Linked DNA regions of Styela clava. The protein of the gene in region 2 interacts with the protein of the main gene of each other region in a pairwise test. Links are inferred from orthologs where the notes say so. Each region holds a gene or a part of one and is shown on either strand. Other genes may lie near its edges. The genes, in order: B9 domain-containing protein 2-like and B9 domain-containing protein 1-like.

Evidence for each region.
Region 1: the proteins of B9 domain-containing protein 1-like (region 2) and B9 domain-containing protein 2-like interact in a two-hybrid assay, tested with the Caenorhabditis elegans proteins (3 studies listed by BioGRID). The link is inferred for Styela clava from reciprocal best matches to the Caenorhabditis elegans genes mksr-1 and mksr-2.

The regions. Positions count from the first base shown.
Region 1 is NC_135258.1:12,597,201-12,609,249, forward strand, and holds B9 domain-containing protein 2-like, read right to left. Parts: upstream 7,424-12,049; 5' UTR 7,382-7,423; coding exon 6,854-7,381; 3' UTR 6,151-6,853; downstream 1-6,150. Other genes in the region: translation machinery-associated protein 7-like, read left to right, coding at 9-152, 633-667; tRNA-splicing endonuclease subunit Sen54-like, read left to right, coding at 4,349-5,737; intraflagellar transport protein 122 homolog, read left to right, coding at 9,053-9,111, 9,277-9,428, 11,482-11,560, 11,968-12,044.
Region 2 is NC_135262.1:3,161,055-3,173,702, reverse strand, and holds B9 domain-containing protein 1-like, read left to right. Parts: upstream 1-4,391; 5' UTR 4,392-4,446; coding exon 4,447-4,515; intron 4,516-5,352; coding exon 5,353-5,533; intron 5,534-5,919; coding exon 5,920-6,079; intron 6,080-6,668; coding exon 6,669-6,768; intron 6,769-6,778; exon of another isoform or gene 6,779-7,133; intron 7,134-7,543; coding exon 7,544-7,666; 3' UTR 7,667-8,634; downstream 8,635-12,648. Other genes in the region: NADH dehydrogenase [ubiquinone] 1 alpha subcomplex subunit 13-like, read left to right, coding at 3,268-3,756.

The DNA.
Region 1 (12,049 bases), on a different chromosome or scaffold from region 2:
ACGTTAAGGTGGCAAAAAGAAACCATTAAAGCAGCCAAAGAAGGAACAAAAAGATATGGACGATGATGAAAAAGCATTCAAGCAAAAACAGAGAGAAGAAGCAAAAAAGTTACAGGAACTGAAGGCAAAAGCTTCTGGCAAAGGACCTCTTTGTGGGTGTTATTTAAATCATTTGTTGATTAGTCAGACATTTACTTTATCTTCAATAAATATACTAGGACAGTTGTGTCACTGTGTGTATTGCCTAGAATGTTAAACAACATCTTTGTGTATTTATATTTTACCTGGAAGTATTCAAGGTATCTCTAAACCCTAAATTACCAAAAATAATATCTTCTTGCATATCGATAGATAATCGGTGTAGTCTTGCACAGGGGGTTGTCAGGCCTTCGGAGCAAAAAAACTTATAATACTGGAATAAATGATTAAACAAATATTTGGACATTGCAATACCAACATAATTGCATGATAAGCATAATGAAAAATTCAATTCTGGTTTCCCCAGGTATACTATAAGTAAGACAAAATGAAAAAGCATTAGGAACATTCAATGAGTGTTCGTCTTTTGGTATACTAAAATTAAATACTTATTTCATAAATCTTATTTAATATTTTACTGATATGCATTGCAGCACAAGGTGGAATAAAGAAATCTGGAAAAAAATGACCTCAAGTGATGCAAGAAAATTTTTTAGTCACACTGGAACTCCTATAAACACTAGAATTGAGAAACAGGATAGAGATGTACAGAAATGTTGCAGTAGTATTGTCGCTAAACCAAAATCATATTAATAAATTCAGTTAATACATGCGATTTCAAATAAACTTGTTCTATAGCTGGGTATAGTTAATTAACATGCTGATTTGTACATTTGCTGCCAAAATATTTTGAATGCTTTTACTTCATTCTATTTTTTAAAACAAGTGGAATCTACTACATTCTGCAATAAATTTTGTTGGTGACGTGTTTATCCAGCATTTTGTTTTTCAATTGATAAAACTTCTTCCTTCAAGAGTCCAGACAGTGGCTTGAAATAACTTGTAAAAGTCATTTCGTTTGTAATAATAACACAAGTACAATTAAAATTCTCAGTCAGTCAACTCTTGGTTATATGCGTATTGATGGAGGAAAATAGCATCGTCAAGAGTTAGTAGTCGATTGAGTATCCACAGGTATTGTGGGTTTCTTTTTCCATCCACAGAATCTTTTCGAATTCTTTGAATTATGAAATGCCAAAAGAGATAAAGATACCATCTTTTTGATTTCATTCGAAACCTGTACTTTGCAAGAAATGAATTCAATTTATCAATACCTCACATAAACTTATTACTCTTCGATCTTTAGATCGGTAAGTATGTTGATAGGTATTTGTCTGTTTGTTTGTCTGTCTGTTAGATGCACGCGATATCTCACGAAGGCGTGGTTGCATCTGCTCCAAATTTTGCATGTGCATTCATCATATCTTGAACCAGAAGCTCATTTATTTTGGATGAATTGTGTCGTATAATTAGCGAGTTAATAATTAATTAGTGCTGGGACACGCGGTGTCACTATAGGGTCATGGATCAAACCCGCAGTTTCGCTCGATAAGTCTTCGGTCTCCGACCGATATTCTCGTATTCTTGCACAATAGCAGGCATGGCTATGTGCACATGCTGCTTCGTTCGTCTGTCCCATCGTCTGATTTGATCAATTGGCTCCACTCCTACGTACGAAGATAGTAGTGATACTGCCCTGTTGTCATACCAGCTTACGGCTATTACGTTATTTTTTTACTCAACTCTGAAGTCATATTCCCCCCTGCCTTCCTTTTTAATGTTTTTTCATCGTCTAGGTTACAGCTGGGTAGGCGGTTTTTTCTCACGGTGCTAACATATTGCATTCCCCTCTTATAATTTTTGAATGAATGGAAAGCTGATAAAAAGGTTTCCTCTGTCACAAAACGGCGGAAATAACGCAATGGCGTATCTACAATCATGTCAGCTGGAGGATCCAATTGTGGGCCGGAGAATGTTGCATCAGGTCTATCGGAATGTTTCTTTCTCCACCGAAACTCATTGCGGTCGGTTGCATTTTCTTTTTGGCTATGTTTTTGATTTTGCACTCGTGAACTCGTCAAAGGATCGTCGTCGTCAGAACTTTCGGACTCGACCTGTAAAATGAAATATCACGAAATGAGAACAAAGAACAACATTATATTACTTGTTTCGATCAATGAGTGAGCAAGATATTTGTCAGAAGATATTTTCGGTGTCTGTGAGCGATCAGTTGTGTAATGCTTCATTAGAAAAAAAACTATGTAATCATTATTTGAAAATATTATGAACCTGAAAGCCGTTGTTTTCGTCTTTTCTGATATCGTATTCACTATCTGACTTGACCAACTACTAGTAAGATCGTGTAATAGGGGTGTTACGTAGGTTCCCTAGGATTAATGTAGGGATTCCAAATCCAATATTCGAATATCGCGATCTTCAAATATCGTTTTTTCGTGTCCATATGAATATGGCGCACGTATCCTAGCGCCGCCGTCCACGTTTTGATTTAAAAGCATTTAAGATTTTTTTTATCGCATTCGAAGGCCGCTGACATAAATTATAGCCGACATTAAAGGATAACACGTCGAGGGTGTTTTGGATTGGAATTAGTTTACAATTATTATCATATATTTCAATTTAGGGTGTACTAGCTAGGGTACTGTGTACTGAACCCGGCAACCACAAGGAATCAACGTAAAAGACTGAAACTCAACGAAAACGAACCTAAAACAAACAACAACAAACCATACAAAAAAGTTCAAAAACAAACACTGGAACATCTTCAAATGTCGACTGAATATCATTCTTCTAGACTAGAGTCTAGACAGCACAATAGAGACAGACTCAACCCATTCATCTCTAATATTCTCGTATTTTTAGTATATTATTTCTAACCGACTATTGATCTTTATCATTTGCAGCCATATCTTGTTTTATATGAAGGAGTTAAACTATGATCTAACGCAAGCTCATAAATAAACTTACTATTTCGTGAAAATAGATTTTGTTATTCCTATTTCAATTTAGTCGAGATAGTTTGTGCGGCTTCGGCCATAAATCTAAAAGAAAATTGTGTCGTAATCAATTGTTGTAATCTGTCGTTTCGATTGTGACCGAACATAACGGAAATTATTTCATTTCTCGCAATTCAGAGCGTATAAAGTAGCTCTCAAATATTATTTAGTATGTATCGCGGATTTTATCGTGATCCTGACGTCGTTGATGACAATATCGTTCAGTTCAAGTCGGTGGTATTAATTAAAATCGTAACAGCTGACATGAAATTTTTTTAACTCAGCGCCGCCTCGAAAAATGAAAAAGTAAAACGTTCTCCGGTCCTAATTCTCCTTCATTGGTAATGACAATGGTAAATAAACAAAGGTACACAAACATACCGTTCGTAGTTTTTATTCGTTATTTCACTGTTCTTTCTGTGTGTATTAGGGCCTTTACAGTTAAAATGCGTACCCACTTACGGAATTTTCCACTTGCGAACGGGCGTCCGGAACAAATCAATTTCGTAGTTAGAGTTTTCTACTGTATTTGGTGGTATCAGAATTATATCTGGTTTCGGCAACTGAGCATAATGGTATAATTTATGACGACAAATTTACCATGAAGGCTGCGGTCAGTGAGTGTTCAACTAGGGCTGGCGAAATGTCAATGTGTGTCCGATTAGCGCCACCGAAACACAGTCAGTGCGTGTACAACAAGGGCTCTGCCTCTGTTATTCAGAACTATGTAGGATAGAATTTACAATCTAAAATCTAATCTAAAAAAAAATCCAATCTAAAAAAAAAATTGAATTTACATATTTATCCCGTCGAGAGGAAAGCCGATAAGACGGCTTAATCATATGGCGAACCATGGCCTCTTGTCCGGTTACCAGTCCAGGTCGGGCATGGGATCAGTTAGCCAGTTTTTTGTTTTCGGAAGAATGGAATTGAATTGCGTTACGGGAATTGGTGTCATTGACCGTATTACCCTGGCCGTAATCGGACTGACTGACCCTAATTGGACACACATGACCTAATTTCGCTAACACTGATAGAACTTTCATGCTACCACCACTGAAGATGAGGGCAGCTTTTTTGTCTAAGTTATCTTACAGCCGGTATTTTTTGGTAAAGGCGCTGACGTTTCACAGAATTGCAATGTCTGAATGGCTGTGTTCAAGAGATTGTCAGATTATTTATATTCCTCTTTCAACTAATTACTGAATTATGTTATACATCAGAGTTTGGGTCATGAAAGTCGATTTATATTTTTTCGATTGCGCAATCGATATTTACACTAGCTGATAAATTTAATGTCAAATGGAAACATTGATGATGAAATCTCTGCTGCTGAGAGATTGCTATCCTGGAGACCAGGGATTCAGTCCAACTCTTTACCATCTAAAGGTGGCCCTAAATTCTTTGGAACCAGTGACACTGTTGTTGAAGAATGTAAGGTGAATACACAATTGGATAAATATGCTTCTGTACTACACTCGGAAAAAGTCAGGAAATTGAGTAATCTGGGAAGTGCGGAATGGATGGAAAGTCTGGGAGTAGCAAAAATCACAAAGCAAGGTAAATTCATGCAAAGCATGTGCCATCATAATGGTGAATTTTTTGCCCTTTTTGGTGAAGAGGCATTGTTCCTACTAGACATTGGTGACTTAGAGTTAACTTTAAATGGTGTCCCACTGGCACTGCAAGAGGCTTACTCGTTTATACTAAACAATGATAAAAGCTGCTGTAGCTTACAGGATTATCAGGTGTATTCATATTTGGTCAAACGAGGATATATTGTCCAGAGGTACTCGTTAGATGACAATTGTACTGGACTTGTGGAAAAAGAAAAAGCAAATAAAAGAAAGCTTCCTAAGGATGATGAATTCGAAGAAGGAAACTCAAAACAATCCAAACAAGATCACAAGGTAGTTTCAAAAGAAATTTTGTCTCCAAAATCATCTAGAGGTTGGAATATGCAGTCTCTTCCAGCATTATCTCCATATTCACTTTCCCATTGTACTTTCATATTAGATGCAAAATTTTTTCCCAATCTATCAAATAAGTCATATACGCATTTGCCAAAGCCAGATGCAAGTCTAATACCACCAAATATTGACACACATGAGTATAATATTGAAGAAATCTGGTTTCAACGAATCCAAAAGGATTATGTCAATGAAAAAAGAAACCCACAACATTCAAATATGATTAACCTTAATGATATTGCGCGGAGGGCAAAAACATGGACTGAATATAAGAAAATGGTGAAAATAGCCAAGCATAAAAAGACTGGTAAGCATTTTGAGCTGCTCAATAAGATGCATTCAGGCAATATTAAACCCTTATTACATCCATCACAGGCAACTAGTGTTGATCAAGTTGTCAAAGAAATAAAACTAACCAATGATGCATCTAATAAGAAATTTCAAAACATGCAACAACATAACCAAACTTGTACTATTAAATATAATGTGTTTAAGAGTGATTCATTACCTTTCAAAAAAACGAATCCTGGTACACCATTTTGTAGGATAGTTGTAACAACAATTCAGGACGAATTTCTTGATACACTGACTAATATTACTATTAATAGACAATCAAATAGTGTCCCAGTCAAATATGGAGTTGTTGATTATGGACAAATATCATTTTTTTCCATTGATGAAGGTGGTGTTCCCACTATAATTAATGATCCGTGATAGTGTTTTAATCTCTCATGCTCTAAAATCAGACATGATTTTCAAGATTGGCAATAAATATTATTTTCATAAATAAATGAGTCTGATATTTGATAGAAGTTGCAAGGTGATGATGAACATTATCCCGTGTTTCTCTTCGACAACTAACTGCTTGGAAATATTTCTTCAAATTTGTTGAGGCTGTACTGAAATTATTCATGTTTCATGAAATTTTCTGCATTGTATATCAACAAAACAAAATATATTTTACAATACAGTGTATGTGCTTTAGTTCCAATGCTGAATAGGATTAGTTAACCTTACATTTTCGCATGTTCCGTTAAGTCAAATATCATATCAGGCAAATCATTGTTCCAAGTGTCATCGAGCTACAGTTTTCATTGTGTATTATTAGAGACGTTTCAAAATCTGATTATATCTGACAAATCAGAAAATTTGCCATGGTTCATTTCAAAGGAATATATTTGAGTCAACGTCCACTTGCTAATGAAGTGTGTTTTTATGATATGTAGTTTATATATTTCAAAACTGTTTTGAGGAGCATCAGTAATCGCAGGCCCTTTCCATCAATAATGTAACTTTTATTGGTATAAGAATGCTAATGAAAAATATCATAATTGATATAGATAAGTCGCTCACCAGCTGAAACATTTCCTACAATATACAGTAAGTCATATTTATTAATATACAATTTTAACAGATATATATTTACTACAACAGTATAAACATTGAAAACATGAAATCCACATTTGCAACCTTGCTCAAAATTATATAAATCCTCCGCTCTTATTATCAATTTATAATGGATAATTTGAAGATTAAACATTATTGCGAAAAGTGCCATCATGAATATATCTATTAATGGTCAAACCGAACCATTTTCTACTATTCAAAATAGAAATTCAAAAATATTTCAAAATGAATTGGGGGATGTAATATCGCAGAAATATGAATGTTGATTTTCTACATTATTCTCAGATATGTTAAAGAAATCATTCAATAGAATACCACTAATTCAACATCTTCTTTCAATACCACCTTACACTTCTCACAGTATGAGTATTGGTTCAGAAACAATAATATGTCACAAAAATATCTTGAAAACGCTACATATGACTAACTTTCAATGCCAAATTTGTCAAAATTTCTCAGTATTACATTCAATTGTGCATGAACCTTTCCCATAGCAGTTGTATGCAATTTATACCTGTCTGCACCACTGTATATTAATTCTGGATTTTTCAATTGTGGGCATCCGCCAACAAAGTATTGCATCAATTCTTCTTTAAATGTTCCATTGGGTTTCCATGTCATGCACTCAACTTCATGTGGTCCTGGAGACGACGGAATGTGAACAAATCCATAAGCGTATAGTTCGTTTCTCCCAAATGCATCATGGTGCCAAATCTGCACATGTAGACGTGGCCAGCCCTGAAGTCCTTTAGTTGCGTAATGCAAGTCTATTGGATGACAAAATGCAGCGAACTCTTCATTTTGTGGATTGTCTACTTGAGTTTGTCCATCTTTTGAACCTGCTATCAACTTCCAGGCACCTCCTGCGTGAATTCCCCATTTGCAGAAAAGTCTATGATCTGGAAATTCACTCGCCCCAGTTAACTGACCAATAATATGGACTTCAGCCATGGTTTGTTTATAAATGGTTCAACATATTTATGATAAATCTTAAAGGCAAAGTAAAAAAACAAATTAATATAATAGTATGGAACAATTGACGGACTTCCCGAAGTATGCTCACCAAGATGGCGCACAACCTGAACTCGGGTTGGTAACCAGGTTCAGGTTATGCGACATCTTGGTGCACATACTTCAGGAGTACCCAATTGACAAACCAAGTATAGCCTAGCTATATCAAAGTCGTTCGATACTGGAACAATAAAAATGGGAATTCGATATGGAGTTTTTGCACAGTATTAACTTAATGTTAAAACATTGTTTGCTATCGAACATGACCAAATCGTTAAACATCTATGAATAACTGGATAGAGAGGTTCTGGTATGACACAACATGACAGATGAAATACATTGCTAGATAATGGTATTAATTCTTTTAATGGTATTTATTATTCAAAAAATATTTCACTTATTCAGTCTATAGTAAACTGAAGCCGGTCAATACACTACTAGGGTGCGGTACCTGGACTGAACATACATTCAATTTCCCATTGGCAGCTATGACAATTATTCTTTATTAATGCGCATGTTTATTTACATGTATTGTACCTTTATAAAAGTTTTGCAAGTTTCCCAAATTTTCGCAATCTTCTGTGTGTTCATTCTTGTGTTTTGTGTATGATTTTTTTTCGGGAAAATCAAAACATACTTATATAGGAACAAAAATAAATAACTATGTAGCGGTACCTACAGCATTAGCATACAAACATTCATTTCAGTACTTCAACCGTTATTCATTGATCACATTTATATCCAGCCATACAGGTAATTCTCAATGTAATAAAACAAGATTATATATATGAAACACCGGAATTTAGAATAAATATTTTAATAAAACAAGATTATATATATGAAACACCGGAATTTAGAATAAATATTTTAACTAAAGAAACCGTATCCAGAATCGCAGAACAACAAATAAACCGCGTATCCTGGAGCATTGATGCATTAATTTTAAATCAAGCGGTACCACTTAAACCCTTTGGTTACAAAGGTTGAAGTTTATTTTTTAATATATTTTTGGAATTTTGCTTTATTTGTTTTTGTTTTGTGCCAATTTTGAAATGAAATATGTTTTTTTTTAATATCAAATATTTTAAAACAATTTATAAAATTTAATAAAACCACAGCGTTTATATATCTGTTGGCGATAATTTATATCTGCCACAGAGGGTTAATTTGGCGAGTTGAAATATTTCTCTTTCAGCTCGGCTCTGCTCTAGTCGTCGAAATGCGTTAAAGTGCAAGAAATACCTATAAAAAAAATTCTTACGGGTAGCATATACTTACCTAGTGTGTTTCGAATAAATGAGCTCACCGTTCAGTAATGTAAATTTACAGCCTCCTGTTTTGTATTCTGTAATTATTTTGACAATAATTCATTAATTGAAATAGGATTTTTTTCCATGTTGTATATATGAATTCTCATTCTTCAACCAATTAAGCCATAACAGTTTAACCAGTTTGAGTTATTGGATTAGAATATTTCATTAGTAAATATAGTAGAAATATTTATACTATTTTACTTAAAAATGTTTTCACATTTTTAGACAATTTTACACCATATAAATGTATCACGTATGTCAGTAATTCACTTTAGCAAGTTTTCAGCAACACATTATCATGCGATCTGTTCCTCTCTGGTTGGATAAAGTTCAGGACAAAACAACTGCTGGACAATGGTACAGCATAGTAATTTATTTCTTATAAAAAATTGATATTAAGAATATGAATTTTGGTATAATAATCAAGAATATTATTGTTCAAAATCACTTACCGGTGACCATTTTGTTTACTTTCCTCTCGAATGTTTTTACAAAGTTTTAGTTGTACATCTATTCTTTCAGCATATATGACTTGGCATTTAAACCCGATGGATCTCAGTTGATGGTTGCTGCGGGAAATAGAGTTTTAGTCTATGATCCGAGTGATGGAACACTGGAACAATCACTTAAAGGACACAAGGACTCTGTATATTGTGTCGCCTTTTCTAGAGATGGTGAGAGATTTTTTATTGCGTTTTGTGGTTTATTTATAGACAGGTTAACAGTGTAACTTCTGTACACAGTTGTAACTTCTTTTTTGATTATGCGAAATATCTGTTAGTAAGCTCTTTCGTCAAGTTTGTTTTTTCCAACCAGTAAAATAGATCTTTATTAAGCTGCAAGTAGGGATGGGCAATGTAGAATAATTTACTATTCTAGAATATTCTAGAATAGTTAAATCGAATCCAGAATACCGAATCCTATTCTATTTTCATACTTATTCAAATAGTAGGAATTTCTACATTGCTGGATTTAGATGGTAAAAAATTGCAAATGTTATTACTTACTATAAATGTATTATCTATTTGGAAATGTCCTGAACATTGGACTTCATTTGATACTAAACAGGCAGTTCCCAGGACAATAGAATTTAGGAATATTACAATATTTTTTGCCTTCAATTGTTCCAAATGTATGTGATCCCTAAATACTGATATGCTAAATTAAGACACGCTTTACACACTTTAATAGTAAGCGGTTAAATACAAAATAGACATGCAACGGCGTTAAATCATTATTAATGTAAGTCTGCCGAGTATACTAAAACATACCCGCTGAGAATTAATTAGATGCTGAACCAGCATGTGGCCACTGCAACCTATGCTCCGTTGTAAAATATTAAATTTAAGCACTATCAAATAAAATCAACTTTTTATTCTGTGAGAGCAAGACACGTAAAACCAAGTTCCCGTAAACGCGATTTCGTACTTAGTTATTAGGTAATAACATCTGAAGACGAACTCATTTTCTATGATTATCGTTACATATCATTATCTACCCAGACTTAGCCCTACTCAAATTCATACGTCACTATCTTCGCCAGATGCGGCAACTTTTTTCAAAATTTATCGGCGACTAAAATACTACAGACACTCGATCGAACGTGCGTCTATCTTGAACGATAGAAATGTTATCATTAATCATTATCTACCCAGACTTAGCCCTACTCAAATTCAATACGTCACTATCTTCGCCAGATGCGGCAACTTTTTTCAAAATTTATCGGCGACTAAAATACTACAGACACTTGATTAAACGTGCGTCTATCTTGAACGATAGAAACGGACCGAAAAATATGTAATTTTTTGAGAGTGAAATTTAAATGTGACAGATGTTTGCGTTTTGCGATATAACTTTGTATTTCGGAAAATGGTACAATAAAATTATTCGTGAATAATATTTGATCTAAATTAATGTTATAACATTTAACGCCTGGCTTTTGGCTTACGTGCATCATTTTTTTGGGAAAACTCGTAGGTCGCGAAAAATCATTTAATTTAAAATGAGGCAAGGCACGTCTGTAAACAATTAAAGATTGTTGTATTCAGATTATCGGAATATCACCAGTAAGTCGGCACAAATAACGCTAGCTAGATAGCAAAGAAAGAAAACGCAAAAATGGTGCAATAACGAGTTCTCGCTGTGAGGTTATATTACCGACTTCTTGTCCTGAATATGCCGATTGAAATTACAGTGTTTGATGTTCACCGATTTACGGGTTATTTGCGAGCAGACGCAAGTTTAATTAAACGAGAGAGATTTCCACGCGAGAAAAACGCTCGTCTATAATTGATAAATTAGAAACCCGAAATAAAAAAAATGACGCTTGGCGCCGGAGAGGCGGAAACCGAATCCTGTTATCGGATCCCGTTGGATTCGAATACTTTGGGATTCGAATCCTCCGGATTCGGTATTCTATATTGCCCATCCCTAGCTGCAAGATGTGTTATTTAGATTGAAATGAAACAGTAGTAAAGTGGGAAAAAAATTGGCATGGTATCTTTCTGACAACTAGCATGAATTTTTCTCTGTACAATATAAATTGCTTTGCGAACACTTCACAATTCAACGAAATCTGCTTAGAAAAGTTTCAATAAGCATTGTAAATAGCAGCCCACAATTCCTATATCAAATTATGATTCTAATTTACATTCTTCCTAGCAAGGTATAATATAGAATTTTGAATGAATAACTATCTGCTTTAAACTCTTTCTTTTTTTTTTAAAGGTAAACGTTTCGCTTCTGGCTCAGCAGACAAAAGTGTCATCATATGGACTGATTCGCTGAGTGGGATATTGAAATACACGTATGCTCTTATTGGTTCCTAGCAGGGATGTCCCAAACGAATCTAATATTGGAATTAATTTGAAATGATTCATATAAAATTCTTGATTTTAGTTTTAAATATTTTTATTTAAAAATAACCAAGTTGAGTAATCAAGGTATCAGCAACAAAGCATCTAACTTCTGAAAATAGTAAAAAATGGATAAAAAATCATTGAATGAATGAATCACTGTTTATTTTAACCTTTTTGGAATTTCCAAACTTTTAAAAATACGATTGACTCCTATTATTCTTTATTGATCTCGGGATAGTACCGCAAAATTATTTGTATTTCATTGGTTTACAGTTCTGCATTCTGCACAATGGGCATAAGCAGTGTCAAATAAGTGATTTCTGTTTTCTATAACCAACCTCATTTTTATTCACAGACACAATGATGCAATACAAGCTCTTGCATACAGTCCTGTAGCCCAACAACTTGTATCATGTGCAGTTTCTGATTTTGGTGAG
Region 2 (12,648 bases):
GACAATTTAGTCAGTGAGTCCTGTTAGACCTTCACTAACTTTCCATAACTTGGTACCTATCGCAGGATCAGTTGCCACGGCGTCAATTTCAATGGGTCTCAACTTCACGAATAATTTTCCGCTTCGATCTTCAATTCCTTCCTCAAGGCAACAATGCAATGAGGACTGAGCGCCATAGTAAGGAGTCATTGATGCAAAACCGCAAAAAAATTTGTTAAAATAAGCCCACAGCAATCCACATCTTTGTGCAACATCACGTGCAAAACTGCTATCTACATTGCCAGAATGAACAGAGTATGTCGTGATTGCAACATTTTCACTTTTCAATCGTTTATCCAGCTCACTTGTGAAATATATATTCATAAGTTTAGTATTTGCATATTTAAGAAATATCTCTTTCATCCCACTGTTAGAATTAACAACTGGATTCAAATTATTAAAATCAATTTTTCCTGCTGCGTAAATTTTTGACGCTACATTAACAATCCTTACTGGATTCTTTTTTGAAGTTTTTCTCAATAAGGGCAACAATAAATTCGTTAATAGAAAAGGTCCCAAGTGGTTAATGCCAAACATCATATCAAAATTGTCCTTTGTTTTCCCATCTGTTATTATTCCAGCATTATTGACCAAAATATCAAGTCTTTCTTCTTTTGCGATAAACTCATTTGCAAATTTTCGGACATCAGCCATTTCTGCTAAGTCCAGCTTCATGAAAGTTACCAAATCGTTTCCACTTTCTAATCGGATTTCTGTCACTGCTCTTTCAGCTTTTAAAGAATTTCTGCAGGCAATAATTACTTTTGCATTGTGCTTCGCTAAACCAGTGGCAGTTTCCTTTCCAACACCAACATTTCCTCCAGTGATAAGCACCGTCTTCCCAGTTAAATCTGTGTTGCTGTCACATACTGGCCCAATTTTTATGGATTTTATCCAAGCACCTATACCAATTGTAAGTACTACTACTATAACAGCTCTCAGGGAGTAGTTTAATACATCTTGTCCCTCAGTTCCTGTTTTCACAGAATTCATCCAAATGCCAATAGCAATTGCAAGAATTGCTGCTGAGATTACAAGTTTAAGTGACATTTTATTAGTTGTTCAATATCACACGAATCATGGAAATCTATAAAAAAATATTAATAATGTTATTTTTTTTATAAATATATAATATTGTTACTAATAATAGGGGCTATGTTCACAACACGACACATTCCGTGTCAATCATTGTCAGTTCATTAATTATTAAACAATTAAGACGAATTGTGGTAGCGTGAAACCGGCTAACTTCGGATACCTTGTAACTTCGGATGAAATTTTCAATCGTTCATATCTCGACTAAATTACGTCATATTGTGCTTCTGACAGTTTCCATAGTGAGTCCTTATATATCTAAATCTGTTATCATATTCAATCGCGCAATTTAATTTATTTTCTGATTAAAAAATCACGTTTTACGATAAAATTGACACTCCGTTTTCGAGCGGCTCAAATCGTGACTTCTACTGATGCTAATTTCCTCAAACTACCGTCATTCGATAGAGGGCGATAACAATGTATATGGAAAATTAGATTGATCGCAAGATGTCGCAGGAGACTCGATAAAAAATTTGAATCCAAATATTTTTTATATATATAGATGCCGAATTCAGAAGCACAAACCGATTTTTGATGTGTTTTTCAAATTTCTATGTGATATCCGTGATAGTGAAAAATATTCAGCATTTAAAAATGGCAAACTTCACATACATAGAAAAAAATGGAATTTATTTAAAGATTGCAGTAATGTTATTATTGTAAACAGATGATTGTTATTATATTATTCTAACTATTGTATTAAGTTATAATTTATGTATATGTATAGGGTCATCTGGGATGACATTGTTATTGAACACGTAGTGGACATATCGATCGTTTTGCATTTTATGCAGGCAATCCTCTTCTTTTTGTTTTTCGTTTTTAAAAAGATAAAACTTCTCTCCAGAAGGCTATTACTTTTTTTCGCTATGACGTCATCAAAATTACGTGGCCCCACGTGTCCATATATTTGAGCATAGCCCTCCTGTTTAATTATAGATAAAATGAAAATTTATTTATTAATATTGTTTACTGCAATAATTTATCAAAATCTAAATGATTTGCCATGATATTGTTATGTATTACTGTGATGTATTATTTATTGATTGATACTGTTTATTGCAATTATATTGCAATATTGTTTTATTTTATGAAATGCAATAAAAAAAAAAAAAAAAATAAAAAATTTTTTTATTTATTAAAATAATAGCATCTGACGCACACGTTGAACGTTGACGTCACACTGACGTCGCTCACTTCGAAGACGACGTTATGTTGCGTCGCTGTTATAGATTTGACGCCAGACTAACGGACGCCGACGAGTTGGCGTGATTTGAAAATAGCAACGATATTTATACGGTAGTATTGCGCCCACTGTAATCAATTGTCCCACTCCCACTTTCTATAATTCAAGAATTTAAAAAAATCTCGAACACTCACACATTCTAGCTGGTAGTGCTAGTAATTGTAAATAATATAAAATTTTGTGTTAAATGTTTTTAAATTTTATTTGTTTGCAAAAAGAAATGGACCTTCCCCCGACCTTTGACCCTCGGAAAATTCTTCCTATACTTTACCATTGCAAAATTGTTAAGGCTATTTTAAGAGTGCTTTTGCGAGTTGGCGTCTGTAAAATGGGGTATGTGTTTCAAACCATCATTATGATTCATCGCATACAGCAATCTGTTTTCTAAAAGTACCGGTAAAGAATTTCAGGCTAGTCTATCACAGCTATTTCTACACTAATTTTTATTACTGCAATTGAATTAAAACTCCTAGAAAGACAGAGTGATCATTGAATTATCTGATTTTTATTTAAGTTCCCAAAACACAACTGAAAACTAACGAATAGAGTTCAAAAACGCGAAAACGAGGTAATGTTTACAATCACGCTTGAAAATCTGTCTGAGTGGGAAAAGTGTCTGAGCGGATGCGAAAAGGGGGCATTGTTACGTCACTTTTTGCATCTAGCTGATTGGCAAATGTCACGAAGTAAACAAGGAAGTCGATGCTCGGGGAAAGGTCCATAGTGACCGACGACTAGTAGCCATTGTTCTCAACACTAGTTGTCGCCAAAACACTTCATTAGAGTTATTTTCGTAGGACAATTTTGAGGTCGAGGTCTGTTCAAAAGGTTTATTTTCCAGTCGCCACTGAATTGGCGTCACTGGTTGGCCATTTCAGAAAAAAATGGCTGGCTCTGGGGAAGGATCAAAGGCATGGAGCAAGATTAGGTATAAACAGGACATGCCCCCGCCCGGGGGCTATGGAAGGATTCCATATCTAAGAAATCTTCCCGTGCGTGGACCCAGCAGTTATGGAATATTTGGGTTTGCTATTTTTACATTTGGTTACGGCTTCCATATCATAAGAAAAAACATGAAATTGGACGAATTTGAAAAACGGGAAACACGACTAATTGAAATGACATATCTCCCGCTTTTGGAAGCCGAAAAAGATCGTAATCACCTCAGAGAATATAAAGAAATAATGGAAGCCGAAGCACTCAACATCATCGGAACTGGATCAGACCCTGATCATGTGGTAGGACAACACGAATGGGAGTCGCAAAGATGGCGAGCACCGTATCACCAATACCCAGAAGTGATCTATTCATGGACTCGTGCCATAGATCTGTGGTATCACCAATATTTCCGAAAAGATGTTCCAGGACCTTAGACTCTCCATTTATTTGATTTCAGAATTTGTTATTTGAGTGTTAGTTTTTATAATTGGATCCATATTCAAATGCTTTGGTACTTGTTCGAATTTTATCATTAGTCTAGTTGTTCTAAATTGGATTCCTAACAAATAAATTAGTTTTTCAGCAGCTCATTTTGAAATAGTAATTTATAAAATATATAGCAATGAACATATAAGTGTGTAATACTTTATCATGTACCTCGTCAAGTTTAGCAATTAAACCCAATAATTGTTAAATTGTAAAATAGCTGAATTGATACTACCTTCCTGTTGAATACATTGTTCCAATCATTGATTCAGGAACTGGCAAAAATGTCCCGATTCTAAAACTCACCAGATCGAATAATTATATGTTTCACATTACCATGAGATCGTTACTACAGCTTGATAAACCCTTTTATAAATCCTAGAGCTATTATGGCTAAAGTCTATGGCTCTAGCTATTATGGAAAGAGAGTAGATTTGTTAGTGATGTTATTAAAGTTATATTATGCTTTATATGATTCACCAATCCAAAGTTTGCTCTCAAATTTTGTTTATTTTGAATATGATACTGTTATTAAACACTTATCATTCTAAATGACATTTTCTGTTTATTCTGAATGTGTTTACTTGTTTCAAAAATATTTAGATATTATTAATAATTAGAAATATATCGTTGGTGAAATGGCCGGATTGAATCCAAACCCAGCTGTCTTTATGTTGATGTCAACAGGACAAATTGAAAGTGCTGTTGTAAGTTGCATTCACTTTTTTATTTATATCATTCTTTTATCGTTTCTTTTTATGCTCGTTCATGGATTGAAACTTTTAAATAAACTAACAATAAGTATCTATTTTGGAATTCATACATTAATAATTCAGTACATCAAGTTATGATTAATGCCAAATTTTTTGTGATATTAGATTCAAAAAAATTTTTGCTTAAACAAAAAAAATCTTTCGAGACTAAATAATTTTTTTTTTTAAATTAGGCAGTTTTTGAATATTCATTTTTCATTCGGTATTAAGGTAACCAGTTCTCCAAATGCCTCAGATGTCCTGCTGTCACTTCAATAATTTTTGAATAATCGAAAATTTCTGATTTAGCCCAACATACACAGTTTATTATACTTCAGATTCGCAATTAAAACAAAGATGGGGCACAGTTCCTACACTGCCAAACATATTATCTCACAAACTGAAGGTTTTATGACTATTGTGTTGAAATTCTACTGTCAAAATGTGACAAGATTTTTGTGTATATTATATGCTATAGAGAAGGGTTGCGAAACCCATAGCACATGGGGCAAGGTTTTTGAACAAGTGGTCAAAATATTTGCCCACCTAGACTGCCGGCCGGCGGCCCAGTTTACGAACAATATTTACAGAATTATTTCAAAACTGAATTCATCGGCATCGCAATCTCAAGAATTCCTTGAGTTAGTTTTTTTAGCTTAAACATCTAAATTTGGTTTTAGTTTGTCTGTTGCAGAATCAGGCGGGGCCGGATTTGCCCATGTCAGCATGCGCCTCACTGTTTTGTGTACCCCCTGCTTTTGAATAATCGCAATCACTCCTGTGTTTTATCAGTTTCCAGATTTTGAAGAGTTATATTGCAAGTTTTCATTCATTCATGGTCAAGACTGGGCAGTGACTGCTGGATTAGAAGAAGGCATCTCACAAATCACAAGAAAAAGTCGAGACGAGAGACAACTATTTGTGTGGAATTTCCCTCTGGATATCACATATAAAAGTACAAATCCGTTTGGATGTAAGTTTGCATGTAAATCAATTTTATTGCATGTTAAGTTGACCTGTTAGAATCAATAAAGTTTGAATTAAATATTTTTGCCGATGTACCACAGACCATAATGTAAGCATAACCTGGAGAATCTAGTTTTGTAATGCGTACAATGTTTATTCATGCCCTGCGCTCTAAACAGTCCCACCCTCAGACCCTTCCCCCTTGCTACGCCTCTGTCTTAGAATATGCGGGAGCTACTATTATAAGGATTAGTTACGATTCAACATTACCTACCCAAGGATGGGAATGAGATTTGAAGTCTTAACATGTAATCTGCGATTTCAATGCAGTTTAACACACCAACAGCTAGGCAATCACATGAATTCCATCTTCTTCATTCTATCATCTAACAGGGCCTCAATTAGTCGTTAGCTGTTATGGTCCAGATGCATTTGGTCAGGATGTCGTCAGAGGATATGGAGCCACACATGTGCCCATAGCACCTGGAAAACACTCAAGGATTATACCGATGTTCGTGCCCGAATCGTCATCAAAGTTACAAAAATTTACAAGGTTTGTTTTCATCTTATGACACAAATGTGACCAACATTCGTCAGATTTCTGACTTCACTCTGTTGCGATTATGAGTCGGGGTTAAACAAGACTCCCTGTCATTTGTGGATTTGTATCGTATGATGCAAGGATGCTGTAGCAGTAATAAAAATGACCTTACTATGTAATTTAAGAGTCCTGCTGCATACTCAAGTCTCAAATGTATTTCCCTTTTTCATATTAGCAGTTTACAGCCCTACAGGAATACATTTCTGTTGGGCGCTGCCGGACTCTTGATTTACTGATTGCCTTACGTTAATATTACGCTTTTGAATCAATGCTGCAAAACATAATATCTCAGGACTAATATTTTATTTATTTGGCTGGTATTGATTAAAAAGGGCCACAGTTTCAAATATTAATTTAATTCTGCACTAGTAAAAACACGAAACCTTTTGGTTTTATTTACAGTATATTTCTACAGTTTGCTTTTTATATCATAAATTATACTTTGTGCGAGACAGAAGAGTTAACGAATTCCTATTCTTCAACGAGAAATTTTGTTTTGAATTGTTATCTTGTTTTTAAATCATGCCTTTTCTTCCATCAGTTGGTTCCTTGGCCGACGTCCTGAATTCGTAGATCCCAAGGTCGTAGCGCAAGGTGAAGGTCGTGATGTCACAAGAGTTCGAACACAAGGTCATATAAAGGTCAGTCAACTATAGTTGTTGCACATGTATAAAGTTGTTATTTTACACACTGCGGAGGTTGTTGTTGGAGAAAAAGCTCAATTCTTCACAACCAATGGGCCAACCAATTTCAAATTTTCAGTGCTCAAAGATGAGAGAGTCTTTAGGAAGCTATTGCCTGTATTTTTCGTCAAATTTATGTGTCATAAAGCATGCTATATGTTACCCAAAATGTTTGCCGTGTTATTTTAATTTGACGGGTACACTATTTATTTCGTATCACTCGACTGTCTCTGCATAGCTTGTCCTCTGATACTCTCAGCCTCAGGATTACCATACCCGTACCAATGTGCGGCCTTGTGTCCATGTATGTGAGGATTGCTGTCCTATATGATGTCAAAAAAAAAAAATATACTTGCTATCTGAGAAAGAGATTATGCTATTCTTGTTAATAATCCTGATGCATTCATGAAAGCATCGTCAAGTCCATGCACATGAAAATGAGTAACTGGCTGACTAATTCCATACCCAACTTGGACTGATAACCGGATGGACTCAGGCCGTGGTTTGCCATATGATTGAGCCGCCATATTGTCTTTCTTCACTCCTGTGTCCTTTTCAGCACATAGAAATTTACTTTAAGAAATTTGGCTATCTGTAACACACTTTATAGCGTTTCACATGTTTATGGCTCTCCAGAAGTGTGTGTACCAAAATCTGAATGAAGTTATGGCCCAACCCTAACCTGCTACAAACACTACGGGAGTACCCACTTCATAGTTTTCAAATTTTTCAGGTTACTTTTAATGTTGTAACAAGAGATATGAAAAAGATGGGTTATGATGTCACGCCTGGTGAACCACTCGGATTCGATGCCACGCAATCTCAGCCTGGTGCTGTTGCCACAATGCTATCGTGACATTCCAAAATAAGATACTTTGATTGCTGCTTATAACCACTGTGGCTGCTAGTTCAGGAATGTTTTATATTTGACAGAATTAAATATAATTATGTCTAGTGGAAATTTTTTGAACATTGTTTCATAAATAAATCTTCACATACTCAAATCTTCAAATGAAACTTTGCTGAATAATATAGGGTGCCATAAAGTCTAGAAAATATTTGAAAATGCAAAGGGAATTTATCCATACCATATGGATATGGATTGTTTTTGCCTTCACAGATGTGTTAAATGAAGTAAAAATACCTAAACATTACTGTTTAAAAAACGACAAATCTGGTTAAGATATATTGAGAACTGACTTAAACAAAATTGAAATTGTAAAGGGACTTTATGAACACCCTGTATTTTATAAACTCTTTATATACTTTATTTGAAAAATAATTTAATATCTAATAATTAATATCAGGATATTATTGTAGAAAACCATATACAAATATCCAATGGTTTGCATTGTTGCACAGGCACTATGTTCAGTGCAGCCAAATTTAAATCATTTTTTTTTAATTTGAGAGTACTTTTCGGACTCTATTTCTAATAAATTGTTTGGTGTGCAGAATCTATTTCGAACTAAGAACTCATAAATTTAAAGTCATTCTAACTCAAATTTCAGAAGAGTTTAGGTTACAAAATGACTCTTTTTCCCCGCGTGGTTCATGGTGCATTTTCAACGAGCAAAAGTATCTAACAATTAGGGTTACGTGAAACTACGGTAACTACGTTTTCTCACTCTATGCCTTTGGGCAGGTGGTTCCGTATGCAAATGACAATTCTATTCAATTCAAGATTTTCGTAACAAGGTTAGACGGATTGTTACAGAAATACATTTGTGATAGTTGGCATCAAGGCTCTTGAATTGAAAAAAGAAAAATATGGTGCTATTTACCTTGAATATTTCAGGCAAAGAATGGATTATTTCAGGTTTCGTTAACTAGATCTCTGCACACTTCCCACGTCAAAAGTGGTGCCATCTACCTTATTATTAAATAAATACTTGCTTCTCAATTGATGACTTCACTAAGCTTTGGTGATTTTCTTTTAGTGTTATTTGGTTTCCTGGCACTTTGGTGGTACTTTTATTGTTTCAACCTTTTCATATAATGTAGATGATTTTTTACTATTTATATACCTAATAGATATATTATTCTTGTATGCATTTTGTGTTTTCTTGATTCTGAAATCTGCTACGTGCAGAAATGAGCAGTTGATTATTGGCTAAAAAATCTAGGGTTACCATATTTTTGTGACTTCAAAGCGGGAAGCCCCCAGAGACAACGACCCCCGTAGCTGTGATTTTGTAACTTCACATTTTCACCTTCAGTAAGTAGGCTAGCGCTGCCCTACACAGAAACAACAGTAACGAGAACATGTTCGTGTATCATACTGGATAGCTGAACGCCAAAGCGGGACTTTTGGCTGACTTGTCGGGACGACGGGACAAGACGCTAAAATCGGGACTGTCCCGCCTAAAGCGGGATGTATGGTAAGCCTACATATACTCCATCCATGCATCTGAAAACAAATAACTAATCCCATACCGGACATGGACTGAAAACTGGACGAAAGGCCATGATTCGCCCTATGATTAAGCCGTGTTGTCTACTTTCATCTCTTCCGGGATAACTATTTGAATCCTACCCTAATAGCAAAGTGTGGAAAAGCGAATAATCTGGAAATAAACAACCTAAAATTAGGTTTAACCTGTGTTGAATGATGCCACCAACTGCATGCGAAACAACTGTTGAGTGATTAACTTTGAGAATAGGTAACATGTTATTTGGCCTGTACATACTCTGCTTCGTCGTTGGTCTTGAGGTATGCGCACCAAGATGTCGCATAACCAGAACCCTAAACTGGTACACAACCTGAGTTCAGGTTGTGCGCTATCTTGGTGCGCATACTTCAGGAGGTCCGCTTCGTCTTACGGTTGGTTTGTTCGATATCGTTAAGTAAATGTGGTAGCTAAAAAGAGACGGTGAGATCGCCAATTAAGTTGGCGCCACAGGGTAGATTACTGGGGTTCAAACAGGTTCACCGTCTTACCCAGACGCATGACCGAGACAAAAGGATTTGGTCGTTCCAAAAACAGTAGCTCCTTGCATCAGTACCTGCATTTCCAGGGTCATGTTCAGGGCGAAAGCCTAAAAAATGGTAAGGCAATAAAATGATTGGTAAAAATAAAAACTGATTATGAAATCAGGAGAGCAAACAAAACCTTACTTAGTTTAAAACGTACAGAATGTATGATAGAAGGTTTTGCCAAGAAGAAGTGGTACGTGTTCACTCACCAAAAAAAATTGAAATATTTCACACACGCTCACACACAACCATACAGAAGGTATAAAGTAAGAAGAACATGATAAATTACATTCTAGTAGTTAACAAATAAATAAATAAAAATTATAATCATTTCTTTATCATACAAAGGTCAGTGATTACCTAATTTATATAACAAAATTCAAAGCATAATGATAAATAAGCATAAATTGCTTGAGTATACTGACCATAACGGCGAATAGTTTCATTCTGCTATTTTGAAGTCCTTTTATGCCCAAAAACGCTCATGGACGCCCAAAAATTTTCTGTGTAACTCGGTTTGGATTTGGAAGTCGGAATGCGGCACCGTTTCGCCCACAGACGCACCATGACGAATGTGACCATCCAGCCTTTTATTTACACAATTTTATCGATGTTAGTGGTATTTGGCAGTGACTAATGTCGACTGCGCGAGGGTTGACTCTACACTGATAGAAAGGCGTTATGTTTTTTAATGGGGATTCCTGGTTTCCGTCAGGCGAAAGAGAATTATTAACACTGCCAAATATCATAGGCGGTGGAGTTATTCTGACTATTATTGTATGGGTGCGATTTTTTAAACGCGGGCCCGTGTGCAATAGCAAGAAAGACCTAACGGGAAAAACAGTGCTTGTGACCGGTGGTAACCGTGGGATCGGAAAAGGCATCGCTATCGGCCTTGCGAAATGTAACGCAAGAGTTATTATTTGTTGCCGAAATAATGACAGAGGTTGTGAAGCAGTGAAAGAAATACGGCAAAAAACTGGAAATGATCAAGTGCATTCTATGAAACTTGATTTGGCAGATTTTGAAAGTATCAGAGAGTTTGCTGAGGAGTTTTTGAAATCTGAAAGTAATTTGCATATTTTGGTGAATAATGCAGGAATTATTCTAGAAGGAAAAACTAAAGATGGGCTTGATTTGATGTTTGGTACAAATTATTTAGGACCGTTTCTGTTGACTCAATTATTGATGCCTATTTTGCGGAAAACTGCTAAAAAATCTCCTATTAGGATCGTGAATGTAGCATCAGAAGGGTACAAATTTGGGAAGATAAATTTTGACAACCTGAATCCAGATATCAATCGGAACTCAACTGGGCTTCAAATCTTTAAGCAATATGCTAACACAAAATTGATGAATGTGTATTTCACAAAAGAACTGGACAAAAGATTACGTCAAGAAGGTGGCACTTGCAATAATATTACTGTATACGCAGTCCACCCAGGAGCTATTCAAACCCACATTGGAGCTGATCAAGTTAATAAAGGAAGATTCTTTAGTTGGTTATTTAGAAAAATGTTTTTCGTGCTTTTCTGCCGTTCTTCTTTCTACGGATGCCAGACCCCGCTTTATTGCTGCTTAGAGGATGGACTCGAGGAGTCTTCGGGAAACTACTTTACCGAAATGAGGCAGCGAAAATTATATCCTGTAGCTACTGATGAAAAAATCTCTTCCGTATTGTGGCAGAAATCTATGGAGATGTGCCACTTGGAATAATAATGCAATTGATTGACGTAATACATTTCTAATCTACTGTCTAGGTAGAGAATTGATATATGTAAATGACCCGGTGAGTCTGTTATACTTGTATCAAACATAAACATAATAAGCAGTTTAAGAGTGATTTACCTTTCGTAATTGTGCAAACAGATTTGCTCTTATCTTATCTTTGCAATTTTGAGGCAGCTTCTTTCAATGTTTGTATACTCAGACTGTATTGTTTGTGCTGATTATTGTAATGTTATTGATATTCATTTACGATATACAATTTTATTTTTATAATCAAACCCAGACAGCATACTATGTTATATTGCTTGATTTGAAAGCTTATCAAGTGTAATCTATGATTTTGTATTATATATGCATTTTTGTGACGGTAGCTAACATTTTTGAGTGACCATTTGTTTTATCAAATCTTCATATTATTGATTCATTGTAATAGATTATTAGTATGAAAGTATATCAACTATTTTACCAAAAATTTTTTTAGTAATTTTTAACATAACCACTGCATATGTTTCTAAATTGTGTTTCATATTCTAAAGTAGTAAGATGTTTACTTTTTGTGATCCAATTATCTTCTCAAATCCAATACAAATTCCATTTGTAAAGTATTTTATAGAAAACATAACTTTTCTGCAAAGCGTCCAAAGATTACTGTAACTTTTGAGTACAATCGTACACAAACAGTTGTTCGAGTGATAAATGAATAGTACTTAAAAAAATTGATGTGCATAACCACTGAATATGTTTAAAATTGTGTTTCATATTCCAAAGTAAGTTGTTTCATGAACAAAATATCCTTCCAAATCCAATTTTCAATATAAAGAGCACCCAGGTCATATATAACAATATTCTTAAGAAAAAATACTGTATATCCTCACATATAGGCCGACTCCCAAAAAACGACCCTAAAACGGTGAATTTTGTAAAAATCCACATATAAGCCGACACTACAAATCGTATGCTCTCATCGTAAGAACTTGTATAGTTCGAGTTGTAGCTGGTGGAATTAAGTTAGCAACATGTCATTCTGTTTGAGTGTGATCAGAGTTATGCACGTATAATTGAACGTTCAATGCACTCAGAGTTGTGCGCGTATAAGCCGATCAACCCTTGGTTTGAATTTTGGATTCGGCTTA